Mytilus edulis: one gene and its partners. Each later gene encodes a partner of the first gene's protein in a complex. Links are inferred from orthologs where the notes say so. Each region holds a gene or a part of one and is shown on either strand. Other genes may lie near its edges. The genes, in order: small nuclear ribonucleoprotein Sm D3-like; RING-type E3 ubiquitin-protein ligase PPIL2-like; U6 snRNA-associated Sm-like protein LSm5; RNA-binding motif protein, X-linked 2-like.

Evidence for each region.
Region 2: small nuclear ribonucleoprotein Sm D3-like (region 1) and RING-type E3 ubiquitin-protein ligase PPIL2-like share a complex: the UniProt entries of both Homo sapiens proteins name them as parts of the minor spliceosome. The link is inferred for Mytilus edulis from reciprocal best matches to the Homo sapiens genes SNRPD3 and PPIL2.
Region 3: small nuclear ribonucleoprotein Sm D3-like (region 1) and U6 snRNA-associated Sm-like protein LSm5 share a complex: the UniProt entries of both Homo sapiens proteins name them as parts of the U4/U6-U5 tri-snRNP complex. The link is inferred for Mytilus edulis from reciprocal best matches to the Homo sapiens genes SNRPD3 and LSM5.
Region 4: small nuclear ribonucleoprotein Sm D3-like (region 1) and RNA-binding motif protein, X-linked 2-like share a complex: the UniProt entries of both Homo sapiens proteins name them as parts of the minor spliceosome. The link is inferred for Mytilus edulis from reciprocal best matches to the Homo sapiens genes SNRPD3 and RBMX2.

What each region holds. Positions count from the first base shown.
Region 1 is NC_092349.1:81,658,313-81,665,404, reverse strand, and holds small nuclear ribonucleoprotein Sm D3-like, read right to left. Parts: upstream 2,532-7,092; 5' UTR 2,398-2,531; coding exon 2,082-2,397; intron 789-2,081; coding exon 721-788; 3' UTR 527-720; downstream 1-526. UniProt on the Homo sapiens protein: Plays a role in pre-mRNA splicing as a core component of the spliceosomal U1, U2, U4 and U5 small nuclear ribonucleoproteins (snRNPs), the building blocks of the spliceosome.
Region 2 is NC_092349.1:71,243,435-71,250,898, reverse strand, and holds the start of RING-type E3 ubiquitin-protein ligase PPIL2-like, read right to left. Parts: upstream 3,021-7,464; 5' UTR 2,978-3,020; coding exon 1,424-2,977; 3' UTR 1-1,423. UniProt on the Homo sapiens protein: Has a ubiquitin-protein ligase activity acting as an E3 ubiquitin protein ligase or as an ubiquitin-ubiquitin ligase promoting elongation of ubiquitin chains on substrates.
Region 3 is NC_092357.1:54,417,715-54,424,547, forward strand, and holds the start of U6 snRNA-associated Sm-like protein LSm5, read right to left. Parts: upstream 3,018-6,833; 5' UTR 2,922-3,017; coding exon 2,882-2,921; intron 202-2,881; coding exon 106-201; intron 1-105. Other genes in the region: kalirin-like, read left to right, coding at 3,221-3,287. UniProt on the Homo sapiens protein: Plays a role in pre-mRNA splicing as component of the U4/U6-U5 tri-snRNP complex that is involved in spliceosome assembly, and as component of the precatalytic spliceosome (spliceosome B complex).
Region 4 is NC_092346.1:77,143,084-77,150,649, forward strand, and holds the start of RNA-binding motif protein, X-linked 2-like, read right to left. Parts: upstream 3,027-7,566; 5' UTR 2,901-3,026; coding exon 2,887-2,900; intron 1-2,886. Other genes in the region: oxaloacetate tautomerase FAHD1, mitochondrial-like, read left to right, coding at 4,377-4,444, 6,960-7,056. UniProt on the Homo sapiens protein: Involved in pre-mRNA splicing as component of the activated spliceosome. As a component of the minor spliceosome, involved in the splicing of U12-type introns in pre-mRNAs.

The DNA of each region.
Region 1 (7,092 bases):
TTCTTTTAATTTTCTCTTCAGCCAATGGCCGTTCCTCAAAGTAGTGTTTGTGATTCTTATTTTCAAAATGAAGTTAAATTCATCTGAATTGTCCGTGAACATTAATTCCTTTTTAATTCAAGCTGTAATCTTTCCAAAAGAGTAGCAACTCAAAATATCCAAGAATCAGAATTCTAACACTAGTACTACGTAACATTATCTTGGAGCAGAACATTGCGATATTCTGTCTAACTGGAAGTTGAGGCTGTAGCAAGCTATAGCAAACTTTCTAAAAACAGATACAAGACAGCAACCAACAACCACTGAAAAACAGGTTCAGATCTTAAAATTGACACAAATATTATTGATGTGACTGCGTTTAACAAGTTTGCAACTGAGAGTTCAACTCTACCGGTATTCTAACCTGCAGCAATTGTGTTATAGCACATCATTAGGATGGAGTTATTACACATTACTTTCAGTCTGCTATCTTGGGAAGTTACAATATCATCTTAACTCCAGTGATGAAGAGATCAAAACACATAAATGTACATCAAATATTTTATAAATACAGTGTAAAACATGACAATGTCACATGATCATGAAGAATGTAATGATTCTATGATAAAAACCAAACTTCGCTGTTTTGGATTTTGACAACAATTGCAAGATTTACAAACACTCATCCATTGTCACGATTGTTCAGCTTGATTTCACAAAATGTCAATGAAAGAAAGAATGTTAATGTCTTCTCTGGAATCCTCCTCCTCCTCGGCCACCACCACCACGACCTCTAGCTCCTCGTGCAGCTGAAATACGCAAAATTCATAAATCAGTTCAACTATTATAGGTTCATACATGTCGGTTATTCATAATTAAAATCACATTTGCAAGGCCCAAGCTAGGATATCAGAAAGGGAGAATATGTTATCAATTTCTTCAAGAAGTTAAATTTCATAAGCATTTTGGTTGCATAGTGTTTTTGTGCTAAATCAATAACAAAATATGTAATAAATAATCAACTTGCAATAACTTTATATACATTTGTACATGTACGGGTAACGTTAACTGTTTATCAGTTATCTTTTTTCAGGACCTATAAACTACATGTAACTTTTTAAATCTAGGTCAAGCATACCTTAAAACTTTGATTGATGCGTCAGTTTGTATATGTTGGTATAAATACAACCTAATATTTCAACAACTTTTGATCAACCTTAAATAAGTTTCATTTTGTACTTCATACAAAATTCACTTTTCTATTCTAAAGTGGCTCCAGAAATTTTGTTTGACCAAAGTTTTAACCGAAAGTAATATTGCTGTGATGCAATGTCCAGTAATTCGATCATATGACAATTGAAAGATATGGTCTGTTGATTGATATTGTAGCAACAAATTCCTGTCTGATCAGTACTATCAGAAGTCATGAGCTTTTAACACGTTTTAATACACCTCATCATTATTAGTGTTCCATTTCGGAACATCACACAGGTTCCCGTAATATTTTGACGTCAAAATACCAGTCTGCATGGTTAGCCACTAGTCCGATGCCCCAGACTAGTAAAATTTCATTCGGACTAGTAAGTTTTTGCAAAATTTTGTTTGGCCCAATAAGAAAAATGTCAGAATATTGGTCTTCTGACTAGTAGTTGAAAAAGTTTTTGGTGCAGACTGAAATACAAAATATCTGACGCCATAATGGAAAAGTGATTGTTGTATGACATCACTAGTTCAAGCAAGACAGATTCCCAGGTCAGCTGGGAATAGCGATAAGGTGTATTGACTATCATTAGACTATTGTCTTGATGGTCAGGTCATGGGTGGGGATCTGAACGATTCAACATTTCATTACAGGGATTTGTCAAGTGCATGAATCATTTGTCGAGTCATAATTCAACACAGAACAGCCATAAAACTATAAAGCACCTACAGGCATTGCAAAATCTAGTTATGTTTGCCTTTCAGACCCACACAAATTGGCATTCAGGCTATAATAGCCTGAAATTATGCCTGGATGAGGGCCTAGGGAGAGAGGTGGGCATCCGATTTTACATAAAATACAGGTTACCCATGTAATTAAGTTCCCACAAGCTTTTTTATACCTTGTGCCCTGAGAATTGCAGATTTCCCTCTTCCTGCACCTCCACCAGATCCTCCTTTCACTCGCTTGAACATAGGTGCATTTTTCAACATATCCGGCAGAATCATGAATCTGATCTTGCTTCCACGGAGATAGACGTTTTCCAGCTGTGCAACTCTACCGTCTCTGTACGTGCATGTTATTGCTGTCATCTGGCAATTCATATTGTCTTCAGCCTCAACAAGCTTGCCTCTGTAAACTTCCCCTGTCGTAGTTTCACAGGTGACAATATGACCTTCTGCTTCATGGAGAACCTTAATTGGCACCCCTATAGACATGATGATGTTTTTGAAATGCCTTGATGAGTATAAATTAATCTAAATTGTTGCCAGATATCACAGATGATGATGGATTTTTTCAGTGCCGGCAAAAATCAAAACAAACAATGGCGGATAACGCGCACCGGTCGTTTCCGTTACGACTAAAAACCAAAATTTTGGTAATATGAAACAACGCACCAAAACTGGAATGATCTGTCACAAACTAAGTGACAGGTCATTTAATTTTTTTTTACTTACCCTTGATTGATAAAAAAACATTGTTTAAAACAATTAATTGCATAAAAAGCCATTGTTGTGAGCTGCATCGAATAAGGATCAAACTCAGACTCTTACACAGGGACGAGATAATAACTTGCATATCACATCTATAGTTGGTTAAAGAGCTCATCAGAGCTCAAGTTTTGACTGTTATTGTGTATACATATGCCAACTTATCATACATATATATATATATATATATATATATTTATACTGTATCAATATACAATTTTGTGAATAAATATAGAAACGTTATAGAGTATTATAATATATACTTTTATAATAAAATCTTCTCTTGCACCTGTGGATGGAGGACAATAAATAAGCGTTCATAACTGTAACAGCAATCCATTTCTTGCTTTGTTTTAATTTTTACAAAATCAAGGTTGTAGCAATATAACTTTTTCAATTCTACATTACTATAATGTAAGCATATTAAGGGAACACCCATTTAATTTCAAGAGTAGAGATTATGGCTTTTTCCTAAAAAAAAATTATTCTGTTCCCCAATTTTATGAACAAAAATATTGTTGTCAAGCAGACAACAAAAAAATATTAATCTGAATCCATATTTCCTCCATACCTAAAATGTCTTACTCACACAAAAATACCATATTAAACCCCCCTTAAAGTTAAATAGTTGCTCCCTAAGAATTAATTTATGTTTGGCAGTTTTTCACAGATGTTATTATTTGGAGTAGGTGAGGTTGCAAGTTGAGATTTACAGTTATGTCAGGTCAAACTAAATTGTAAATACACAGTAAGAACAAGAGCAGGTATCCAGGATACATAATAGTGAATTTAATTTATCTGCATCTTCCAGCAAACCATAACATGGTTGTATGATTTTAATTTTAGTTTCTTGTGTATTTTTTGGAGTTTCGTATGACGTCCATTATCACTGAACTAGTATACATTTTTGTTTAGGGGCCAGCTGAGGCACACCTCTGGTGCTGGAGTTTCTCGCTGCATTGAAGACCTATTGGTGGCCTTCGACTGTTGTCTGCTTTGGTCCTGTTGTTGTCTCTTTGATACATTCCCAATTTCCATTCTCAATTTTATCATCATTTCCAACACATGTTAAGCAAATGGTTGAAAAGTAGGATGCTATATATGTGTTTACCCTCTTTAAATAAAGAATTTATTATTATTATCATTATACACCACAAAATATTTGAAGTTAACTAGATATCATTGAGATGGGAGCCATCTCTGTGGGTCCCGCTGTGAATAATGTGCATTAAAAAATTGTATCTTTACCATAGGGTGCAATCAACAGTTTTTTACGTGACGTCATTCTGTAACAGGGCATGTAATAGTGGACCCATCATGCAGAAGTCAGATATTCATAGTTATATAGATATCTATACATCAATGGAAAGATAATTCTATGAACTTTCTGAATAAATAAAAAAAAATCCAACATCTCTTGTTTAAACATGCAAATTGGTACAAGTTATCAGCTGGAAATTAGGCATTTTCCCCCTAAAAAACCTTAAAAAGACCACCTTTGGACACACGGATCAGTAACCTGTGCATATATTTGAGATTTCTTATAATATGCATTTCGAAGAGCTTATCCGGCTGATTTAAGAAAATGTAGTTTCAGCCTACGTTCGCCTGCTCCGAAAGGAGCTATCTTACCTGACAAATCAAAGTGCTTTTTGCAACAGGTGAAAATCAGCTGTTTATGGAGTTGCCTCCCATATAGTAGGAAGTCACAAAAACATTTTTTTTTTTTTAAATCTTGACAAAAGTGGCATTTTAATTGAACTTCAATATATGTTTTTCACATTGAACATAAAAAACAATCAACTTTTTCATTTAGTGGTATATAAATAGCAGGGAATTCCATCAGTATGTAAATCTCACTGGGGAAATACCCCTAGTTTTTAGTACGAAACTGTTTATAGCACCCATAGGACATGGGTTTGTCAACTGAAATCAAAGTTTTTGACCTTGACCTTTGACCTAGGAAGTTGTACATAAATTATGACATACCCTCTGATATTGGTTTATATACATTTCAGGTATAAACTTTGAAATGATAACGGTTCTCAAGATATAGAGCGGACACAATCTTTACCATAGGACATGGGGTTGTCAACTGAAACCAAAGTTTTTGACCTTGAACTTTGCCCTAGGCAGTCGTTCATAAATTATGACACACCCTCTGGTGTTGGTTCATATACATGTCAAGTAAAAACTTTGAAATCATAACGGTTCTCACGATATAGAGCGGACACGGTCTTCACCACAGGACACAGGGTTGTCAACTGAAACCAAAGTTTTTTTACCTTGACCTTTGACCTAGGAAGTTGTACATACATCATGACACACCCTTTGGCGGTGGTTAATAAACATGCAAAGTATAAAGTATGAAATCATAATGGTTCTCTAGATATGGAGCGGACACAAAGTTAAAGTGTTAAGGACGGACGGACAGACTGATCACTATAGGGCGACCCGCCTAAAGGCGGGGCCCTAATTATTTTGTTACCATTCCTACGGCACAAAATATTTCGGAAATACAAATCTGATTAGTTGGTCACTGGTCTGGCTAGTTGCAGATAATGAAGATACTTGAAACTTTTATTGATGCAGGGATACAGCCTTCTATTGGGTAAATGCCGTCATCAAAAAGTGTGTAATCCACAATCTTTTATTGATGCAGGGATACAGCCGTCTATTGGGTAAATGCCATCATCAGAAAGTGTGTAATCCACAATCTTGTCTGTCAAAAGACATGATTTTAGAAATAGCTTATAATTCATAAGAATTTTTTTTTTAATGCAGTCAACATGTTTTTCAAGATTTAATTGCAACATTGTATGCAAAATTATATATCCAAATACAGGTTCCAGCCCCGGCGCCGGGGAGGAAGTTACAAATCAAATCTACTCTAACATCCTAAGGTTGATTTTCTAGGCACTTAATATATACATATACATATATACTTAATTGGTACTGAAATTAAAGAAAACAATGTTCATTATGTTTAAATAATTTAATATTAAAATCAAATGACTCAATCGTCAAAATCAATGAATAGATTTACAATGACAAAATCTTAAATTTTGTGATACTTTTGGTCACACATACAACCTCTATACTATATACTGTATGTTCATAAATCACACTTAAACGTCACTTTTAGATATTACAACTTTTGGACCATTTGTGACTAGTGTAATTATCACTTGATTTTCTCTTTATATATTTTCATAAGTTCATCCAACACACATATAACTGCTAACTCTGAACAATAGAGTTACAATAAAAAAAAATACCAAGTATGAAAATGTTAAAACATTAAGAATTTTCTATAATACAATTCAACTGGTATTTCATATCAATGTGTAGATTTGTCTTTAGAAAACAGAGACAAATTGTAAGATTCAAGAAGTGCTCTTTATAATTATTAGGTCTGGAAAGCATTGTATGGTTAATGTCCTTACAAGAAGAAATCCTGCACAATACAAAAAATCCCCATCAATTCGATTATTACCTTTGCACATGAGTGAAGTACTTGTAACCTATTACAGATCCAGATTATTCAGTACCTAAAATGTACATGGGATGTTTATTTACAAATGATGATAGCACTATTTATATCTTTACATATAAAATCAGTAAAAAAGTATGTGTATATCTGCAAGATAAAAAATGATTTTATAAACAAATGATCTATTATGGCTTCTGATATATCAACTTCTCAACTTATTTTAACTTTCAGACACAAATAATTTGTCGGGTAAAGAGAGGAGTGTCTCTTAAATTTAATTATTCTGCAACCAAATAATTTGTCAGGTTATAAGAGGGTACTTAATTTTCAGCTTGGATAGGAAATATACTAAAAATGATATTATAAATCTATGATACATTTAAGTTTCGCTTAAATTTAATTATTCTGCGCCCAGTTTTCAATTGAAAAAAAAGAGAAGATTAAACAAACATTTTCAGAATTGTGAATAAAAGTCATATCTATATTCATTCAAATCTAATGATATTATAGAACCGCTACAGGTATTACAACTGATGCATACAAGTTATACATTTTCCTTGTACTAGTACACAGCTAAGATTCTAATCCTTTTCCTCAAGGGAGATTTGGAACTTAACCCCTTTCCCAAAAAGAATAGCACTTCACCATACTACAAAATTACAATGAAAATTGGATGATTGATTGTAATTTGCTGTGGCAATTTGGAAATTGGATAAAATTATTGAATAGCGCTCGTCTCCTTATAAAATAACACCAGATCATAATGCTGTTTCAGAACAATATACATGTATTACAGATATTGCATACATAAAATAAACACAATGCAAGAATTGATCAAACGTACATAATATCAAGAGGTCAAAAGTAATTTAAATCAGTCATTCAAAGCATTTGTACAAAATGAGAAAGAAACATTGCTGACTTGTATG
Region 2 (7,464 bases), about 10 Mb from region 1:
AAATTTTAAATAATAAATGGAAATGCATCAAAAATATACATTTATAAAACAAATATACATCACTCTTTCACCTCAAATAATGGCAATGATACAATCACTTAGACACAAAATTCAAGTTTTTCAATCAACAATCACTGAATGATTTTTTTTTATTTTGTCATGTTTATATATTATTTAATTAAGGATTTAAAATAATTGTAAAAAATATGCATATAGAAATTACAAATGGATAGTATACATGGTATATACATGTATGCATTTATGGTGCAATTTTTTCTTTTACATTAACATAACCAGAAAACTTATTTTTTATGACTTTAACAATAGAAGTATGTAATATATATCTATTTGATTACAGAAAAATTCCCATGGCACACTGTTAAAGTTAATATAATCTTGATAATAAAAAGGGATCAATAATTAGTAAATCAAATTACAAAAATAACTGTCATTTAGTTGAAAATTCACCAAATGTGCATTTGAAGATGAACGGGAACGTTATGGTTATCACGTTACACGTAAATCACTGATATTTAAAAATCTTTAAATATGTTAAAATAATTGCTAATGAAATCAAATATTAATTTAAGTCATGCCTCTGGAATTTGTGGATATTTGATTTTGTGGTTTTGCCAATCTCTGTATACAAAGCCTATTCAGATATGTGTTGTTCATTGAACATTTGAATTCGTAGTTCATCTCTACCCATGAAAATTGCTATACAATGAATAATAATGAATCCAAAGTTGTTTTTTTAATAAAGAAATACTAAAATTTAGATGAGCATGCATACATTACATGTATATATGGCAATGAAAAAATTAAAATACATGTTACATGAACAAAATTGTATGTGCTATTCATGCCATTAAAACTTGTATCTGATTTATAATAATAATCAACATTTTACTTTAGTTTAATTGCATTTTGTATTTTAAAGCCCCCACTTTTTTTATTTCAAAATGCAGAATGGCAGAATTAGAACGTTAGTTAATATTGATAAAATTAAAGTTTTTAAGATTGTATCATCATCATCATCATGATGTTTATTGAACATGTTGAATTTGAGTCTTCAACATGTAATTTTCTTTTTATTATAGTTTCTACTTTTATGACTTTTGGATTACTTGCCTCAGATCAACTTAAAATTACAAAATTATATCTGAGAAAGGGGAATTGAACAGTTCAGATGTCATCTATGACATGTACATTTGTATGATTTACATGTCATGCATGTATTAATCATGTTAATGGCATAATGATAAAATATCTTTATGTGACAAAATATCTTCATATTTTTATGAAACTTGGTATACATGTACATACAATGTACATTGTAATTTCATTTTCACCTGGTAACTTTCAGCATGAACATGATGAATAAGGTTAAAATTAGTCAATTATAACATACATGTTTATATTTTCACCAGTTACTAAAGTTCCCTAATTTCCCTGGTACAAATTTAGCTTTCTTTTTTTCAGTCTCTGATTGCTCATCGCCTCCTGATCTTTTCAAACTAGTTTCACTTCCAGTCGAATTAATGTACTTTCCAACACCAGATTTGTAAACCGTAGGAGTACCCTCAGCTGCAACCTTCCTCTTCCTTTCTTTTTCTAGCTTTTCCTTTTCTTCTTTTGCCTTCTGAAGATCTTCTTCTCTTTCTTTTTGAAGTTGTTCATCTGCTTCTTCATATGGATCTACAAACACTGCACAGTCTTCGATTATTATGTCTTCCTTTGGCCTATCTTTCTTGTCTGTCTCAATGAGTTCTACAGCATCTAGTGAACCTATTCCACCTACAACTCTACCAAATACTGAGTGTTTACCATCTAAATGATGAGCTGACCTGAAAGTGATGAAGAACTGAGATTTGTTTGTGTTTGGTCCAGAGTTTGCCATACTTAAAACTCCTCGGCCGGTGTGTTGTAAATTTGGTTTAAATTCATCTTTGAAAGTTCCACCCCATATTGATTCCCCGCCAAGGCCTGTACCAGTAGGGTCTCCTCCTTGTAGTACAAAATTTCTTATTGAGCGATGAAACTTTGAACCTTTGTAGTACTTATTTTTACAATGCTTCAGAAAGTTCTCACATGTTTTTGGGACCATATCACAATAAAGTTCAATATTCAGTGGACCATAATTAGTGTCAAGTTTGACGTATCCTTTCTTTTTCACTCTTTCATAACGCAGTATATCTTCATCAATAAGAGCAGTTTCATGTTCTGTGACGGGATTCATTGCTGTTGAGGTAAATGATGCTGCAACTTGACCAGTAGAATAATGAGCTGCATTGAACTTATCTGCTTTGGCCATTGAAGCTTCCTCCTTTACTGGAGCTTTGTAAGTTTTTTCAAGCTCATCAAGGACAGATTGAGTCATGGTGCTTGCAGATCTGATCTTTGACTTTGAATCAGCTTTGTCTTCATTTGTAACCTTTAAATTATGTTTAAAATGGTAAAAATTGGCAAAATTGCATTTTTCCACATCTGTGGGGTCCTGAATGTTTATGATGTCAGCCTTTGAAAACGGCTCGTCAGATAAAAGGTCTTTCAAGTGATTTGGCTTGAGATTAAGTTTAGCCACTGCGTTTTTGCTAAACACGTTACCTGTTGTTTTAATAGCCACGATGCTAGAGTTCTGATTAAAAACCTGAAACGTAACTGGGCAGTGAAATTTATCATCTTTGTTTTTATAAAAGTTCAAATGGATCAGATCTTTTGCTGTCATCTTTTCTCCGTTTACCGGATTCACGCCGTACTTTTTCAGAAACGGAACAATGTTCATGATATCGAAAATGACGCCGTCTTTGGTACATAGTGGATCTTGAAAAGGTTGGAACGATAAGCTACAACAGTAGAAAGGTAAACGTCTAAATTCTGCAGATTTCTGAAGCTGACCTTTATATCCTCCGAATTCTGTTCTCCATTCAGTAGATGTAAGATACAACTTATCTTTCTGATGTTGTTTTTTGCCCATTTTGCTTGGTCGGAAGTTACTGTATCATGATAAAGAAAAGAGTGCACTGACGGGAAGGGAATGCGCGAAGTTCCGATACCCACATTAACTGGCCACCCGCTGATTGATACTTCGACAGATTGAAACAACAGCAGGGGTCCAGTTTAATACCCACATAGTCGGAAGCAAGACAACTCGCCTCCTGTAAAATCGTCCCAAGTCGCCCCATTTTTTTCACCAGGTCGTCCCACTTTATAGATAGTCGCCCACTTATGAAAAAGTATTTCCCGTTAAATATACTCCTTCCAACTCTCCCCATTTTATAAATCAAGATATAAAATGATAAAGGTCCGCCAACTCGCTACTGTAACGTAACGGTACCCAAATTGCACCGAGTACCCAAATTGCACCTATTTAGCTAAAATAGCAGCGGACATCTAACAAGATTTCCTAGAGACTAAACAGTAAACATTTTGTATTTTTATGATTTGATACTATGCACATCTTTCGACATAGGTAAATATATTTAGATATGCACAAAACGTTCACAACAGTATTTATCAATAGATGAAGTGTTTACTGAAAAAGCAAAATGAACTGAAACGTCGCCATGCCGTCATCAAAACGTCATCTTTTTAAAATGATGAAATACAATATGTTACAAGTATCCATTTAAAAAAAATGAAATTAAGCATGGACTAATATCCAATTGTTTAAAATATTTGAAGAAATTAAACAAAAGCTCTGTTATTATTAGACTTTTGACGATGCGAATTTAAGCATAGATGCAATTTGGGTACACTTCTCATTTCAGAATCATTGATGGTTTGGAGGTCAGTTTAGACCCTTTTTTCTAATATATGATTCAATATGAATTAAACATCAAATTGGTGTTCCAATATAATAAAGAAGGATACGGCTAGAAATTAAACACAGAATGGACATTTTTGTCTTTATCATAAAAAAACGTAGATGAAAAAACTGTCAAAAGAGGTGTAATTTGGATACCGTCACGTTACACTTAAAATGAAAACTTATATATCCAGAATAAACAAAAAACAAACGAAATTTAATATGATATTTTTTTTTTATTGAAATGATGTACTTTTGTCAGTTTCACTTCTTAAAATATAATTGCAGATACATTATTTATGACATTTATTATTATATAATTTACCTATTTATTGGAGATGGAGAATAACTTTATTCTTGCAAGCTAAATTATTTGCAAAATAATTGCAAAAAAAAAATCTATTCATTGTATCATAATCCGATATATTTGCATAACAATTTAAAGTGAAATAGTGAAATAATCACTGATTCTCTTTTAGCAGCCAGTATGGTTCAATTTTGTCAAAATAAGATAAGAAAAATAGATGGTGAATTCTTCACTTGCAATAATTCGACCTCATTGAATCCGTAGAAATGAATAACGCATGCACTGTCCGTGTTCAGTTATTTAAAGGAAATGAATGTCAACATTGAAAGTGAAATAAAGATGAATTAGTTAATTATATGGCGTCCAGACTAAAAAAAAACAAGAAAGTATGCTAATATCTTATATACATTAGTAGATATATAAATATTTACAAGATATCAGTCGAGCTTATTAAGAATTTGTTTAACAGACTATCTTTTATAAAATTGAAAATGGAAATGGGGAATGTGCCAAAGAGACAACAACCCAACCATCGAAAAAAACAACAGCAGAAGGTCACCAACAGGTCTTCATTGTAGCGAGAAATTTCCGCACCCGGAGCCGTCCTTCAGCTGGCCCCTAAACAAATATATAGTAGTTCAGTGATAATGAACGCCATACTAATTTCCAAATTATACACAAGAAACTAAAATTAAAATAATACGAGACTAACAAAGGCCAGAGGCTCCTGACTTGGGACAGGCTCAAAAAATGCGGTGGGGTTAAACATGTTATGAGATCTCAACCCTCCCCTATACCTCTAGCCAATGTAGAAAAGTAAACGCATAACAATACGCACATTAAAATTCAGTTCAAGAGAAGTCCGAGTCTGATGTCAGAAGATGTAACCAAAGAAAAAATAAACAAAATGACAATAATACATAAATAACAACAGACTACTAGCAGTTAACTGACATGCCAGCTCCAGACTTCAATTAAACTGACTGAAAGATTATGATTTCATCATATGAACATCAGGCACAAATTAATCCTTCCCGTTAGGGGTTTAGTATCATACCATCATAACATATATGAGAAGAATATAACCCGTGTCATGCCAACAACTGGTTTTTGAATAAATGTGTTTAGTTCCGATGCAAAGACCCTATAAGTGAATCAATATTAACGCCAAAATATGCAATCTTTATAATGACCTGACAACAGTATCGTAACTATATCCCTTCTTAATAAGTCTATTCAAAGATTTTGTTAGTTTTTGAGGTGAATACTGACACCTTTGTGCTTTATAAAGAATATTTCCATAAAAAATTGGATGTGAAATACCTGAACGTATAAGAAGTCTGCATGTTGAGCTATATTTAAGAATTGAATGCTCTTTTTTGTAAATTTATTGGGGTGTAAAAGCGTTAACCGAAGTACATTTTGTATGAAGCGCGGAAGTATTCAAGATATCTTATATACTTTTACAAGATATCTGATTATCCCGTTAAGATGATATCTTGAAATTAAATAAACAGTGATAAATTCAAATTAATTTAAAAAAAAGTACTTTTAAAAAATACCTCGCAGTATAATGCGGAAAACAATCATCACTGGTAGGATTTTCGATTCTTTATTTTATTGTACGCTACTGTTACCCTAGCGAAAAAGCCAAAAAATAAGGAAAGAGAACATCAGTGGATAGAAAAGAAACCAGTATTTCGAGGAAATATTCTCGATTTTCATGCAAGAGGAGTAAGACTGCTTAAACAATTTGTCATAATCACAAAGGTTAAGTAACTTAAAGAATACCTTTTATTGTATAAATAGACACGAATATGTCATAATTAGAACCTGAAGTAATACTTTCACAATGCCGCATCTCTATTTATTTGTTTCAACTTTCACTTTATCCTAAAGTCATAATGAAACCTCAAATCAGGAACATATATATATAATATGAGGCAGGCATTACCTGTGAATACACCTTATCGCTAATCCCGGCTGACCCGGCCACTTGAACTTTTGACGCATACAACAATCACTTCCATTGTGGCGTCAGATATTTTGTTTTATGACGTCAAAATTTTACGGGAACCTGTGTGATTTCCAGTAATGACGGACAAATAGCGATAAGGTGTATGGGGACAGAGTCTGTATGAATTATTTTTTTTTGTAACTTACATATTTGTTAAAAAAAAGAAACGGAAATACTGCATTACTGTAACGTTTCCGATTTTGGTTCTGTTGTTAGGGATTTTACTTGTGACGTTATTTAAGTTATGAGGTCATGTTCAATGTAAACAAAGAAAGGCAATGCATCAGGTAATGTTAATTCATATCAAAGACAAAGAATTATTTAAAATGAATTCTAATATGACGTGCTTCTTTAGCTTTGTAAAGAAACCGTATACTTTATTATCCAATAAAATTAGTTTACACATGCGTATATTGACTACGGCAGAAAAATAAATTTCGTCAAATTGGTATGCATTTAATGTATTTCCTTAAATTAAAGCACTTTCAAACACTAAAATGATACACATTTTGTTACTAATACTTTTCCAATAACAACAATGTGTTACAATTCGTAATTGTCATAGTTGACCTAGAAACCACAACGTTCATGTTGGCTGTTCTAACTTCAAAACCCCTCCCTCGTTTCATCTCTCCTGTTAAAAAGGCATGTCATTGTATATAATAATTTCATTGAAACATATGTTCCGACGATAAAATATAAAATAAAGTATAGGTTATTATTACTGTTGTACTGAAATGACAAAATTGTTTCATATTTCTGATAAAATGGATTGACCCTAGCAGGGAATCGAACCCCATTCTCCTATAAAAAGAAATAGGCGTAATTACCAATATACCACCAAGGTTTCCAATCCATTTCACAAATGCAACAAGATTGTCACCCAGTATTAATTTAAATCATCATGTTATACAGCATTTGAAACCGTCAGATGCACAAAGGGCACCAACTTTACAAGGTGTAGCCACCGCAAGTATAAATGGAGATCTGTCAAACTGAAAGGGCCCCTCCTGCCAAGTCTCGAATGTCAGCAAAACTTTATCAAGGAATCCTCTATCAGATATGAACATATTTACCAATGCTACAATATCAACCGGCGGAATATTTACGATTAATTTAGTAAATAAAGACCTACCCGATTCTCCTTGTGCAGTGGCGGATCCAGGGGGGGGGGGGGGTGTTGTGCGTCCACCGCCATTGACAACTGACTTGAAAATGTGCGTGTCAGAAATTGACCTCAAAGGAAAAGACTGTTGTAATATAACTTTTCTGTTATATTATGACACAAATAGTGTTTTAGTTAATAAATTAATTTGTTAATTTCTGTTTCAA
Region 3 (6,833 bases), on another chromosome or scaffold:
TCAGTAATGATAAGATGACATTCAGCTTTTTTTTTCAGACACTTTAAAAGACATACAATAGACCATGACCTAGGTAGTTGTTCTTTAAATAGGTCAAAAGGATACTGACATAATCATCAAAACCAAGTAAAGTTCCAACTATTTCTTTATCGTTCTTCATCACAATGTGGATTCGAGATCCTATACATTTATCTACCAGTTCTGAAATGAGAAATTAAATAGTTAAAAACTAGTGTCAGAGCTATTGATCGTAATATTTCCAATTTCTTCTTTAAAATTTTTATTACTTCAATGTAATATTGGATGCAAAAAATAAGTGAAATAGGTGAAATGGAGATTTTTATATAACATCTTTTCATAAGTTATGCTCATGTGATGACTATTATACATGTAGATAAAAAGACTTATTGATGTTATCATGTTCATGTATATATCATATCTATCTATATTTATTTATTTTAATAATTGATTGCACATTTGATTTTACACTGTTAAGTTTACAAGTACAGTTTTGCAAACACATACCTGTCAACCTGTGACGATGAAAATGCAGGTCATGACCTGCATTGAAGAATCAAATCTCAGGTCATAACGCGTACGAACTTTTTCGAGCTGAATTTTAGTATTTATGGTACATTTTCTTATGATTTAATGTATATCAAAGATACCAAAACATCAATGCATGTTAACTTGGTTAAGTCATTTTAAATCCTAACAATTATTTGCAATTTTAAAGACTTTTATAATTTGTGTAAAACAGTCTTATGTTCTTTACTTTTTGTGATCATCAAATACTAGAATTTAGTTTTCAAATGTAATCTTAAAATGTTTGAGGCTACTGGCAATGTAGCCTTAAAACATTCCATCATCAAATTCAGAAGGAAATTAGACTATGATAAAATATAGTAATACAGTTAAAGGAAGTATAAATGTAAAAAATAATTTTCAACTTTTAAAAAAAAATGTATAAAGGTATAAAAATAATGTAAAGTTATTTTTCAATATGTATTTGAATTTTTATGATTTAATCTTTTTCACCCATAAAACGTAAATATAAGGAATAATTTTGAATAGTGACAAATAAGGGGAAATAACTCTTAGTTGAAATATGTTTGTAAAACAACAGGGCAATTTATTTACGACCTAAATCTAAGGTAATTGGTGTTAATTAATAGTGTGTTTGACATCAAAGCTGTCAAGTGAAGCCATGCACTTAATTGGTCACTTAATTTGACAGTTTACATAACTAGATGAACTTCCTGTTCATTGAATTACGAATTTGCCGGTATTTCAAAGGAATATTACTTATGAAATCAATCTCAAGGCTAAGAAATACGGGTGAAATCGGTTCATTTTCGGAATTCCCGGGTTATTTCAATGACCCGGCGGGTGTCCCGGGTGTCCCGGGTGATCCCTCAGAATTGTGAAAATCTCGGGTCACACCCGCAGAATACGGGTCAGTTGACAGGTATGCAAACATACGAAGAGAACAGAAGAATTTAAATTGTTCATCATTTTTTAAATGTTTCCGGTCTCGTCTGAAATCAAGAGCAACTATAAACATCGTAGACACATCAGAATGATCCAAAGATCATGATTTCAATGCACACAGAAGGTTAGTATACACATTACGCGTTTGGTCCACATACTTATGTATATATGATCCAGAACATATATAATAACACCCGGTACGAAACGTCTTGGTAACAAATTAATGTAGTTACGAATTGTCTAGCAGAGCTTGTATCAATTGTAATGGTACTGGAATTTTTTATACTGGAAAGACTACACAAAACCACCGCCACACTTAAGATCTTCTCTAGCTGACAATCAAAGTGCAGTAGGACTCCTGACACTAAATTGGGCACCCAAATCCTATATTGATGTAATTCCAGACATCAGAGAACACATCGAGGACCTAAGAACTAAATGGATGGAAATTTGCATCCTATGGACACCAGGACACACAAATATTCAAAGGAACGACGAAGAGGACTTATTGGCAAAGCAAGCAGCAGAAGAAGCAACACAACTCCTGTCAAAAAAACAACATACTTACCCTTCAAGATGTAAAATAAGGTGCACACAAGAGTGTCATGCTGAAGTGGCAAAGACGATGGGAATTAAGCAACACAGGAAGAGAACTTTTTGAGATAACACCAAACGTTTAAAACATCCCAATCTTTAATTATCCAACCAAAAAATACTTCATCATCTTTATACAACTAAGAACTGGCCATACAACCTTTAACTACTATAAACAATGCACAGGGCAAAACACCACTGACTTATGCAGCTGTGGAACTAAGGAAACACAACAAGACTACCTCACAGAGTGCCCCAACTACGAGAGTTATAGAGAAGAAATGTACCATCAAATTACAAAGGATCCCTCTTACTGTTTTGTTAGATTTCCGTATACCGCTTACACTATGTACGTAAGCAATTTTCATTTTTTTTGTCATTTCCAGAGTCCCGCTAGACCTTACTTCCCGTTTTCACGACACAATAATTTGACTTTCACGTGTCCCGCTTACAAAAAATTGGCAATCCCGCGTCACGCTTAGACCCCAAATTATGAGACCCACTATCATTCGATGAGATCTACAGTTAAAAGTATCTATAAAAGTATGCAGCCTCCAACCAATTGAGTCAAAGAAAGTGTACCCTTAACAAAAGCAGGAACAGTATTTGTACAGACTTCGACCTCTTTCACATGAAAAATTATATACCGGTCTTTTTAAAAATTTATATGGTCATAGATATGGTTTGAAACTGTTGTACATTTATGGTTTGAAATGACAAGCTTCCAAAATTGCAGCCTTAATTGAAAGCCAGTAAAAAATACACTATCTATTATCGTACACTTAGCACAAATTACCAAGTGGAAGTAGCTGAGATGGATTTGAGAAAGTTGTCATCGTGGGTTTCTCACATGTGGATTTGTTGACAAAGTAGAAAAGGCCAAAGAGATAACGAAAGAAAAGGCCGATTCGACACTAAAAATAAATTTATTCTCGGGGTTTTTGATACTTAAGAAGAAGGAATGAGTCATGGCGGTAAAGTCGAACACGCCTACTATGACAAATTCCACCGGAAGCTACGGAAATATCCGATGTCTACCGAAATAATAATTTTGATGGCCGAAAAAGATGAAGATGCTACACAATGATGCTGATTATTGTAAAGAGCAATTAGAGCGTCTCATGGCCGAAAAGACATGAACAATCAAGAGCACAGAAAAGATGTGACTAATGAGAGAGAAGTGGAATGCTATTATCGCCCAGGTACAGAAAAACAAAGAAAACTTTACTGTTTTTATATGAAGTTTATCTCGTCATGGTCCATTGCGTGTTCCAAAATAAATGCCAAACAGCAAGATAACTGAATTTTTCTCATGTTTTAAGCTTTGAACACACTAGTTTTGAAAGTTATGTATCAAATTGTCTTAATGTTAAGTTTTATTATAAATTAATCAACAATACTTTTGATTTTGATATAAACTTTTTGTCCAGAACAAAATAATTTATGAATGTTTGGAAAACATGCATATATATGAAACTCTGGAAATTGGTATCTAAACATTTGAGTTTGATTATTAAACTGTATGGTGTGTAGTGTGGATTATGGCCTGGCAATATATCTGTTCTGTGAACACTCCCAAATCACACTTAAACTATAATCAAGAGATACAAATGTATAATGAAGATGTCCCACATTCAACTGGCTTTGAACTAATCACAAAGAAAAATGTTCCTGTAAATATTTGACGTCACAATAGAAAAATATATGACGCCACAATGGCAGGGGTTAAAAAATGTTGTTACAGATAACTAGCCCAGGACTTATTGGCAGCAGGATTTTACTAGCCCTGTTCGAAGAACTGCTAGCCCATCAAAACTGACCTGCTAGCCCATGTATGCCTTACAAATCAGAGTTTGCTGCATAATACATGGTGGGTGTCATGTTTTGAAGGGGACATTATACACCGTTTTAAACTAGTTTATTTTCTGGCAGAGAAAACATGTTTATTGGTTTTATCGTGTGAAACAAGTGGTTTAATTATTATATTAGTTGCCCACACATACAAGGGAGACCTTTTATTGGGATGGTCGGGAAAACACTGGCAATATTCGCAGAACATGGTCTCGGTAATTTCATCCTGGCGCCACAGCCGACCTTGCCCAGGGGAATCTTTCTGTCCATGTCACTAGATATGTTCTTTTCCGCTTTTCCCGATCGTATTTTACATTTTTTCTAGATGAATTTTTAGCCTCAATAGTACCCCCTTCATCTACCGATTAATTGAAAATCTCGACAGCAGCAATGCACAATACCCCTGTACTGAGAAATCGATATTGAAAGTGTGAGATATTGCAATCAATAGATGATACCTGGCCACCCTGAGTTATTTGTTCTATTTTTAAAACATGTAACTGTACAACAGACTTGCGTTCAATATCGTAGGGTTACGTAGTGCTACATAGATTTTTGTCTACTGAACGAGTAGCTAGCCTAGCTGCTATCAATATCTATGTAGCAGCTAGGCTAGCTACTCGTTCAATAGCAATAAATCTGCATAGCCCTAAGGGAGTTACCATTTGATTTTTATGGGGGGGGGGGGGGGGGGGGGGGGGGGGGCTAGGATGAAAAATTTTGTCCTGCATTTTTTTTTAGTTGTAATCTCTGTCCTGCCTTTTTTAAATGTGAGGTCAAATATTTTGAATTGTGATGTCAAAGTTTACGGTAACCTGTGTGATTTTACATAATGGCGGACAAATTTGCATACAAGTGTGAATATGTCTATATTGTCATAGCGGCACAGATTCTCAGGTCAAGCTGCACAAATTTCCAAATAGTGTTAAGGTCTACATTGTATTCTGTATGGTCATTCCCTGTATTTGAACAATGTCGTTGGGTAATGTGATGCCTACAATACTTTCAGATATTGTGTGTGATGTCAGATAGAATCACTTGAGTGTTTTCCGGGTAGAACTACATTTTGTACCTACATGTAAAGTACAGTAAAAATTCTAAGAGAAGGCAAAACACAGGATACATTCAGGGGCGTAGCTCGAAAGAAACGATGTGGATGCAACTACTGCTGAGTGGAGCGAGGCTAAAAATTTTTGGGACCCTATTATGCAGAATTTTTTTTTTTTCGGGGTTTCGGTCATAGGACGGTTATAAGAGGAGCTATATGTAGATAAAAATTTATGAATGTAAAACTATTAATAAATCTTCTGAATATAGTTACATAAACAACACATATTTGTGATACAAAATTTACTCAAAATTGTCCAAAATCTGCTATTCGGGTCTGGGCAGAAACAAACTTCTCTATTACTTTGTCAACATTCACACTGAAATCCCGATGAATATGCAGTAATGCTATGTAACTTTCGTTGTTCATTGTTGATCGTACATTTGTTTTCAATTACATACGTAGTACCGTGACTGATAGATCTCAGGGCCGTCATGGCATGGTAGCACCCGCGAGATGTTATAAACCAGCGTACGTGTTCGGCATCGAGCAACCTCCCAATTGAATTTGTCAAAATTACATGCTAGGTCAGTTTCGTATGTTTCAGACAGTATTGAGATTTGTTTGTTTGTGATATTTCCTACAACATGATGAAGCAGATACAGCACAAAGAAGCGATTTTCTGATAACTTGACGCGACTCCACTCTCCAGTTGCCTTATCATATGGTCTATGAACACAAAAAATAATGTTTTGGCCTGGTTGCAGGGTGATTGGCTCCGGTAGTCTGTCAACCACATCGCCTCGGCATATTTTCAACGATATCCAAGGGATCTGATAATTCTAATGCCGATTGGTACATCTCATTCCAAACTGATGAACTGTACACTGTAAAATGTGCTCCAAAACTACATATCTTAGACTGAGCATTACAAATTCAAAAGTAAAAATCTTTTAAAAGATACAAGTAACCTTCCGATTTTGTCATAATCTCCAAAAAAAAAAATATTTTGAAACCAAATGTCGTTATTTAATGAAGTTATTTATTTCATCAATTAAAAAAAGTGACAACATAGCTGTTTCCTTTAACATTCAATTGATAAATTTTTATTTTGCCATTTCTTTTTTTGCATGCCGAATCAATGTGCACACAACTTCGAAGCTACGAACTTTTTCTGAATGAACAGCTTCATCAACACTTGTAACAAGGTTGTCAAACTTATATCCGGGATAGACGGAAAAGACACCAACAGTCTCCGATTCCGATTGACCAACTCATCTCTCTCTCTTCTGCTTTTTTTTTTTTGACGTGGATGCACGTGCTGTCGTGCCTCCGGGTAGCTACGCCCCTGACATTTGTGTATCAATGATATCATGTGTGCATTCAGATGTTATATTTAAACCACCATCCTCAGCAAGCAACTAAAGATGGAGTTATATCAATAAGAGGGTAGTTATAGCTATTTTACTATGATTTCAATTCAATATTTGTTCATGCTTGCCTTGAAACCCAAAGGTATTTCTAAATGTATTCACTGTGTTTAATGCAAGATGCTGAGCCAAAAATATCTATACTTTTTTTTTCATTATGTTGTTTCATACTGTTTCTAACAGAAAATATAAATCTTACTTAGTGCTCAGAATATGACTGCCACTTTTTTTTTTATTGAATTATAGAAAATGATGCATATTCTGTCTTCAGGTTTCCATCCCAAATGATAGCATGTGTACATGTACATGTACATGATTTCAATAGTGACAAAGTTTGATGAATTGTTGTGTGTTTATCCAACCCCTAACATTAAAAGTGGAACTGGATCTGCTTACCCTTCTGGAGCACCTGATATCAC
Region 4 (7,566 bases), on another chromosome or scaffold:
TAACATTTTGTCCAGTCTTCATGGTCTTAACTCTTTTTTTGTAATCATCTATATACATGTAAGAAGTACCTATAAATCACTAGACTATTTTTTTTTTTTAATGTTACTGTAGCTTTAAATACAAATGTATATATTGATCTTGGGACATTATTCGAACTAACATCTGTGTTTATATAGAAGACAGGTAATGATAATCTGGTACTGAATCTTGAATAATTACAAAAAAAATCACTTGTTAAAGTATATTATAACTTTATTTCTTAAATTATATCACTCTTTTAAGTTGTTTTTTTTTCCAAATGCACCACATTATTTCTCAAATTTTGGACTTGGAAATATATCATCATTATTTAAAGCCTTCATTATACTATAGCATTTTTTTTATTCAGCAAATCAAGAATTTACAGATGAATATTGTATCTTAGCAGCAAAAGGTGTTTTTTTTTCAATTTTACTAATATAATGAAACTATCTTAACATCTAAACTACATTTGTATATTTGAAATTTTGATAAACTCTAAATCACAGAATTTCTTATCTGCTAATTAATTCCCCAGTCTGTTTACACCAGTCTGTTTACACCACAAAATTTACTTGGAGTATAGGCCAATTTGTTCACCTGGAAATGGTTAAAAATTATAAATGCATGGTTAAAATTCAAAACTATATTTCATTTAAAATTACTAAAGGGAGATAATTTCTTTACCTCTATTGGGCTTTAACTTGTCTTAGCTATAGCTGATGCTTACAAACAGATAATTATCTTATATTTAGAGTCCGACTTATATTGTGAGTATTGAATGAATTTGACATACTGTGAAATCATTACTTTTCATGGGGTTTAAATTTCGTAGTTTTGTGCATATATACAAGATTTCATTGGGATTTAACTTTTCATGGTTTCCAAGAAAATCGAAGTGATATTATATGTAGGTTAAATTTTCGTGGGGGATTTAGTTTTGTTGATATATTCTTTCCACGAAACAAACGAAGTTAAATCCTTCACGAAAATGTCTGCTTTTGCAGTATACATGTATGTTTGCCACTAGGATTGCATTAATATCAATTTAATATACATGTATATATATATAAATTTGAAAATATGTCTTATTTTGTCAACCTTAAGGTTAAAATGGGAGTCCTTCTTATGTTTTTTACATTCTGATATTGAATGATTTATTGTTTTCTGTTCCTATCGGTGTCAAGACTATAACAAGTTCAGATTCTGTTGATGTTACTAATGTACATTACAGTGATTACTGACATATAACCTGATCATGAATCCGCTTTCAAGACTTTTTAAAGAAAAAGTGTAAGACATTTTTCAATTAAAAGTTTTGGCTGTTGGCAAAAAGACCTTTGAAAAGAACCCATCTATACATATTCAAAATTCGAACCTCACATGTGAAAAAACAGTAAAATTATTAGGCATTGAAATAGACTACCAGCTAAATTTTGATGTTCATGTCAGCTCAATCTGTAGGAAGGCATCACAGCAATTAAATGTTTTAAAACGTTTAGGCTCATTTTTGGATAGACTTAGTAAACTTACTATATTTCATACTTTTATTCTTAGTAATTTTAATTTTTGCCCTTTGGCATGGCATTTTTGCACTGAGAAAAATTCCAAAAAACTAGAAAAGGTGCAGGAAAGAGCACTCCGTTTTGTTTATGAGGATTTTACCAGCTCCTACGAGGACCTCTTACTTAAAGCTAAGGTGCCTTCCTTGCAGATCAGACGGATAAGAACAATGGCTCTAGAAACTTTTAAAATTATAAACAACATCGCTCCTGTGTGCTTACAAAATTTGGTGAATGTCAAAAAATCTAAATATTCTTTCAGGTATGTAAATATTCTTGAAATTCCACAGGTAAAGTCAACCCGTTACGGTAAAAAATCGTTCAAATTTGCTGCTGCTACTTTATGGAACAGTCTTCCAAACCATTTCAGGACTGAAAACAGTTTTTCACATTTTAAAAGTCTTGTTCAGTCCTGGAACGGTTTGGAATGTCACTGTTCTGCTTGCAGATAATTCTTAAACTGTTTTATTATTTATGCTGCTTTTGGTTGCTCTGGTCAAGCATGTTTTTACTTCATTCTAAATTTGTTGATTATTTTTATTGCATGCTATGTATGTGAGATTCAACTTTGTATTACAGGTTGTTTTATATGTCAAAATGCACTGTTTTTATGTTATTTATATGTTTTTATATTCGGTCAAAAGCTCCTTAGAGCTTGTGTTGCTTATTTGTACTCATGCCGAATCAAAATAAAGTTTTCTTATCTTATCTTATCTTAAAAGGATTAATGGAAAAACCTGCCAGATTTAACAGTGAGAGCAAACACTTTAATAACTTAATAAATAAAAGTGAAATTCAAAATGCCGAAATCGATGGGTCACTGTGAAAACTGTCTACTAATGAGAAAATAAAGGTTGGCAGGTAAGTGAAACTTACATAAATGAAGAGATAATTTATGAAAAATGAACAGATTGATGCCCGATTTATATAATTCCAAGGCCGTCAGTCGGCAGCAGAAGCGACGAAGCAGCGCATCTATTTTGGGTGGGCAAATATCCACTTTTTGATATAAGACGAGCTCTGACGTCCCACGGCCCCAGCTTGTCTGGCAAAACAGCCGTTGGACGTCAGAGTAATCTCGGACTAATTTACGATATAACAAGTTTTAGCGGGGTTGACAGCCTATAAAGCGGCATATAACGGTACTTCGTCACCACCTGACATTTTTCTAAAATGCAAGTTAAGTACTTTGTGTTATAATAAGGTATATAGGAAATTTTTTCTGAGACAAGTGCCTGTGATCAGGTAATTTTTGTGAAAAATAAAAATCGTGTTCCATTCATATAATTTAAGCAGAATATTTACGTGAGAGGATTCATGTCCTATTGCTAACTAATCAATATATCTTTCCAATGTCACGTAGAGTTGCTAAAACTGATCAAACAGCAAGACAACGAAACCAGAAAAACATTTTGCTTTTTATACCTTTTTCAGCCCTTCTTAAAGAAGAGTTTCAGCTTGTCATTTTCGCCCCAAAATACATTCGCCACAAATGATATATCATCATGTCATCTAACTAATACTCAACCTTTATAAATGACAAGTTTTGCTGGTTTTTACTTTTGTTGTGCATTATTCAGCTTTTTTTGTTGAATTCAAGAAAGGGAAGATGAAGGTAAAACTTTTTATTTTGCCCTCAGATTTAAAACCATCGTGTAAATCAAAGTTTGGCCCCGAAAACTACTCGCCCCAACTTCGTCTCATCATCAAACAAATACTTACTTGGTATAAATAGAGACATATTATACATGTCTCTGCTATAACATTATAAAGTATTCATATTTTACCGTTCCCATCTATGGCCCGGTTTTTATATTTTAAGTCAGTATATTTTTTTTTTTCTTATTTATGTATAGTACGTAATTTACTTTTCTTTACTTTTCTTTCATAGCAGAAAACATATCGTTTTCCCAAATTTTGTTATATTTCTATCCGACTGACTTTAAAAAGAAAGTTTTCAAATGAGGCTATATTTAATTTTAATAACAATTTTTCCCCAGTAAAACTAATAACATAATTGAATCGACCTAGTAAACATTGTACGTAAGGAGACTATCTGCACAATTTGTATTTTTATCAATTAAATGATTGCCAAGAAGATCTAACAAGGACAACGATTCATCTAATGGTGGAATATACTTCATAATAACTAAAAGAGACACTCATCTAGTAGTGGAATATACAGCTCGCACTCCATAATAACTAAAAGAGACACTCATCTAGTAGTGGAATATACAGCTCGCACTCCATAATAACTAAAAGAGACACTCATCTAGCAGTGGAATATACAGCTCGCACTCCACACTAGCTTAAAAGAGATATTCATCTAGTATAGTGGAATATAAATCCCACATTTCACATTAGATAAAAATAGACATTTTATCTAGCGGCAGAATAAACAGTTAACTCTGTGCATTAGCTGAAAAGAGACACGGAGAAACCATTATTAAAATGTTCTGACAGCTCTATTTTAAGGTCTACTTATGACTTTAGATGGTAATGATAATAAGCATAATAACACGGACGACATACCAAGAAGACTTAGCTAGTAACCCCAAAGTATTTAGAGAAATCAGACCATTATTATTTTTACTATAACTACACAAGTTATACTGAAATCGTGATTGAAGATATCAACGGACAAACGGTGCTTTTAAGCAAACAAAAGTATTTAAGATGAGATAACAGAATCAAAGTTTACATTGATAATACGTATAATTTATAGTTGATTTGAGAAAGGTATAAAGCACAAATTTACGAGTTCATATATATATGTATGTTAGTTGGCCTTCGAAATGGCTGAAAGATTGAAACAATTTAGAGAAATTGGGAAGAAAATAGTCGCAGTCTGCCGAAACTACAAGTTAGTATTACCTTCTACTCTATAAAATCATAAGTATACGTTTGTCAGTTATTTGATGTACCCACTCCACAGATGAGACAAAGGACCATAAAGGTTATCAAATTTCTCATATTTGGTCAATTTTATTCTGATGCAAAAATGATTTTTTTTATATGTTTTATTCATTTAAAATAATTGAACAAAATCAGATGAACAAATATCAGGTAGCTAACCTTTTTAGACCACATCAGAGATCGATTGAAGGAATTGTAAAAGAAAAAACACCTGCAGATAGCAAGATTTTGCGTATCTGTTTTATCGACACAAACAGATATGATAGTCCAGGACTTTGCAAAGGCATTTGATAAAGTCAGCCATCCACGCATGCTACACAAGCTCAGACACTATGGGATAAGAGGGAAAATCACAAATGGATCACAGCATTTTTAGACAACAGAACACAGGCAGTTGTACTGGAAAATAAGTATTCAGACAAAGTGGGAGTAACATCTTGAGTATCCCAAGGCAGTGTACTTGGACCTGTCCTTTTCCTTATCTTCATCAATGACATCACTGATGATATACAGTCAACAATTCGTCTGTTTGTTGATGATTGCGCCATCTACCGGCAAATTATAACTACCAAAGATCAAGCCATCCTTCAAAAAGAGATGACTACCTTGACGAAACGGGAACAGAAATGGAAAATGGAATTTAATGTCAGCAAATGCAACGTGATGCACCTAACAAGATCTAAAACCCCCCCATAAAAGAACCCTATTACATGCATCATGGGAAACAACTAGAAGCAGTCACAGACACGAAATACTTGGGAATTACCATCAAAAATTACCTTAGCTGGAACCTACACATACACAACATTGTAGCCAGTGCAAACCAAGCACAAGGGATGCTTAGCAGAAACATCAAAAAAGCTCCACAACAAACAAAAACCAATGCTGTCAACGCACTTATAAGACCAATGGAGTATAGCGCAGCCATATGGGATCCCTATACGCAAGAAAATATTGACAAAATAGAGCGGCTCGCTATATTTTCAACGACTACAGTAACCAATCGAGTGTCACAAGCATGATAAGCAAGCTTAACTTGATACCTCTCTACCAACGAAGAGTAAACATCAGATTATGCATATTTTACAAAATTGTAAATGAGCTAGTAGCAGTTCCAACAGATACTTACCTCATCCCACTAAATAGAACATCAAGACACTACAATACCATGACATACACCATCTTCAACCCAAGACATGATTACTACAAATTCTCATTCTTTCCAAGAAAGGTAATAGCCTGGAATAAATTACCGGAATCGAAAGTGATCGAAGCTTTCAAGATACTGGTTACCGAGATGATGGAATGTTTTTTTTATCCTGCACCAACTGTACAGCATGCACCATATTTTCTTTTTTGATCCTTGATCTTTTATTGTAAATAGACATCTACGTAACGCACAAGTAATGAGTACTCGTTATTGAGTTTAACTACTATATCTAAGAAGAAGAAGGTATTTAAAGCGGAAAGGGGTAAATATCGCTTTGAAACTTAACTTACATATGTATATATATATATATATATATATAGAGAGAGAGAGAGAGAGAGAGAGAGAGAGAGAGAGAGAGAGAGAGAGAGAGAGAGAGAGAGAGTCTATAAGAATCTACCAACCAGTAAACTTAATAGGTATTGGATCATCAAAATTGACAATACTACACAAACAGGAAAAATTATATGAGTCTCGCACAAAGATGGAAAAACTGAACAGATGATATAAATTATACAATAATTGCAAATATTTCGGCTCAACAAATGGCCTTCTTCGGTGCAAAAGTTTTAACAATACTGATATATAATGTATAAGGTGTAAAGATAGATGTATATATATACAACTCGTCTAAACATCAACCCAACAATGTTAGATCTGTAAATTTGCTTTCGCAAATTTTTGGTTCTTCCCTCGCCGGGATTCGAACCCATGCTACTGTGATATCGTGACACCAAATCGCCTGCACTGCAGCCGTCCCGCTAGACCACACGACCACCTGGGCTCTCAAAAAAAAAAGCTTTCGCTGGCCGTTTGTTACCTTTCCTCGTCAGTTTTAATCTAGCGGCGTACTACAGTACATGATATAGAAGGCATGAAGATGTTATTGTTACAGATCAGCTAAATTATCTATTGTAAAGGATCCTACAAATTAATGTAATATACAGTCACAGAAAATAATTATATTTATAAGTACGTCTGAGTCAGTGACAACTCTACAACAGATGTATCCATCGGATCGCCATCAATGATGGTGATACATGGCTGTGTACATAATGTATATACAACATATATATTTTAGAGATTGATGTCTATATTAAGATTATCAGAACCACCAAGACTCACCAGTAAACTCTTTATTGGACTAATTCTGTTTTAGAGTTTTAGAGTATTTTAATGTTAAAAGTTTAATGAAATACATTCACTCTTTTGCGACTTATCTTGTATACAATCTTTATTAAGTTTGATTTTACAGAGGTCTTACTGCTGCTCAAGGCATACCCAATCCGAAGACGCCAAGCCTGTTTGCAAAGCCAACAACTGCATACATCACCGAAGGACAATCTATTCGTGTATGTTACTCTTTTAAAACTTACTGCAGTACCAATTTCACGGTGGGTAAAGTTGTCCTGCGAGAAAACGGTCTGTGCTGTTATTTCGGTCCTGACCGGTGCTTGTGATCATGCATCGAAAATATGTAAACAAAGACGAATATTATGATTTTTGACGTTTTTTTCTCATAAAGAATGGAAGGAAACAGTTGAGATTTTTTTATTTTTTTATTTTTTTTTATGGGTTCAAGGCAACCATTAGAAATGTGACCATTCAAGCTGTTTCAGTGAGCGTAATACAAACATACTAATTTTCAGAAAATCTAGAAATGAAAAAATAAAACAAAAATGCTCCTGGAGTCCGCCATTTATATCCAAATCCACACGACAAAATTATTTTGTGAAAACCCCTTGTAATTTATTAAAATTTTGCATTTTCTCTCTTTATTCATGTCATGATATTGTGCTGGTGGGTCCTGTCATTGTGCTAGTGGGTCCTGATACGATGCTGGTGATTTTGGATAAAAAGTT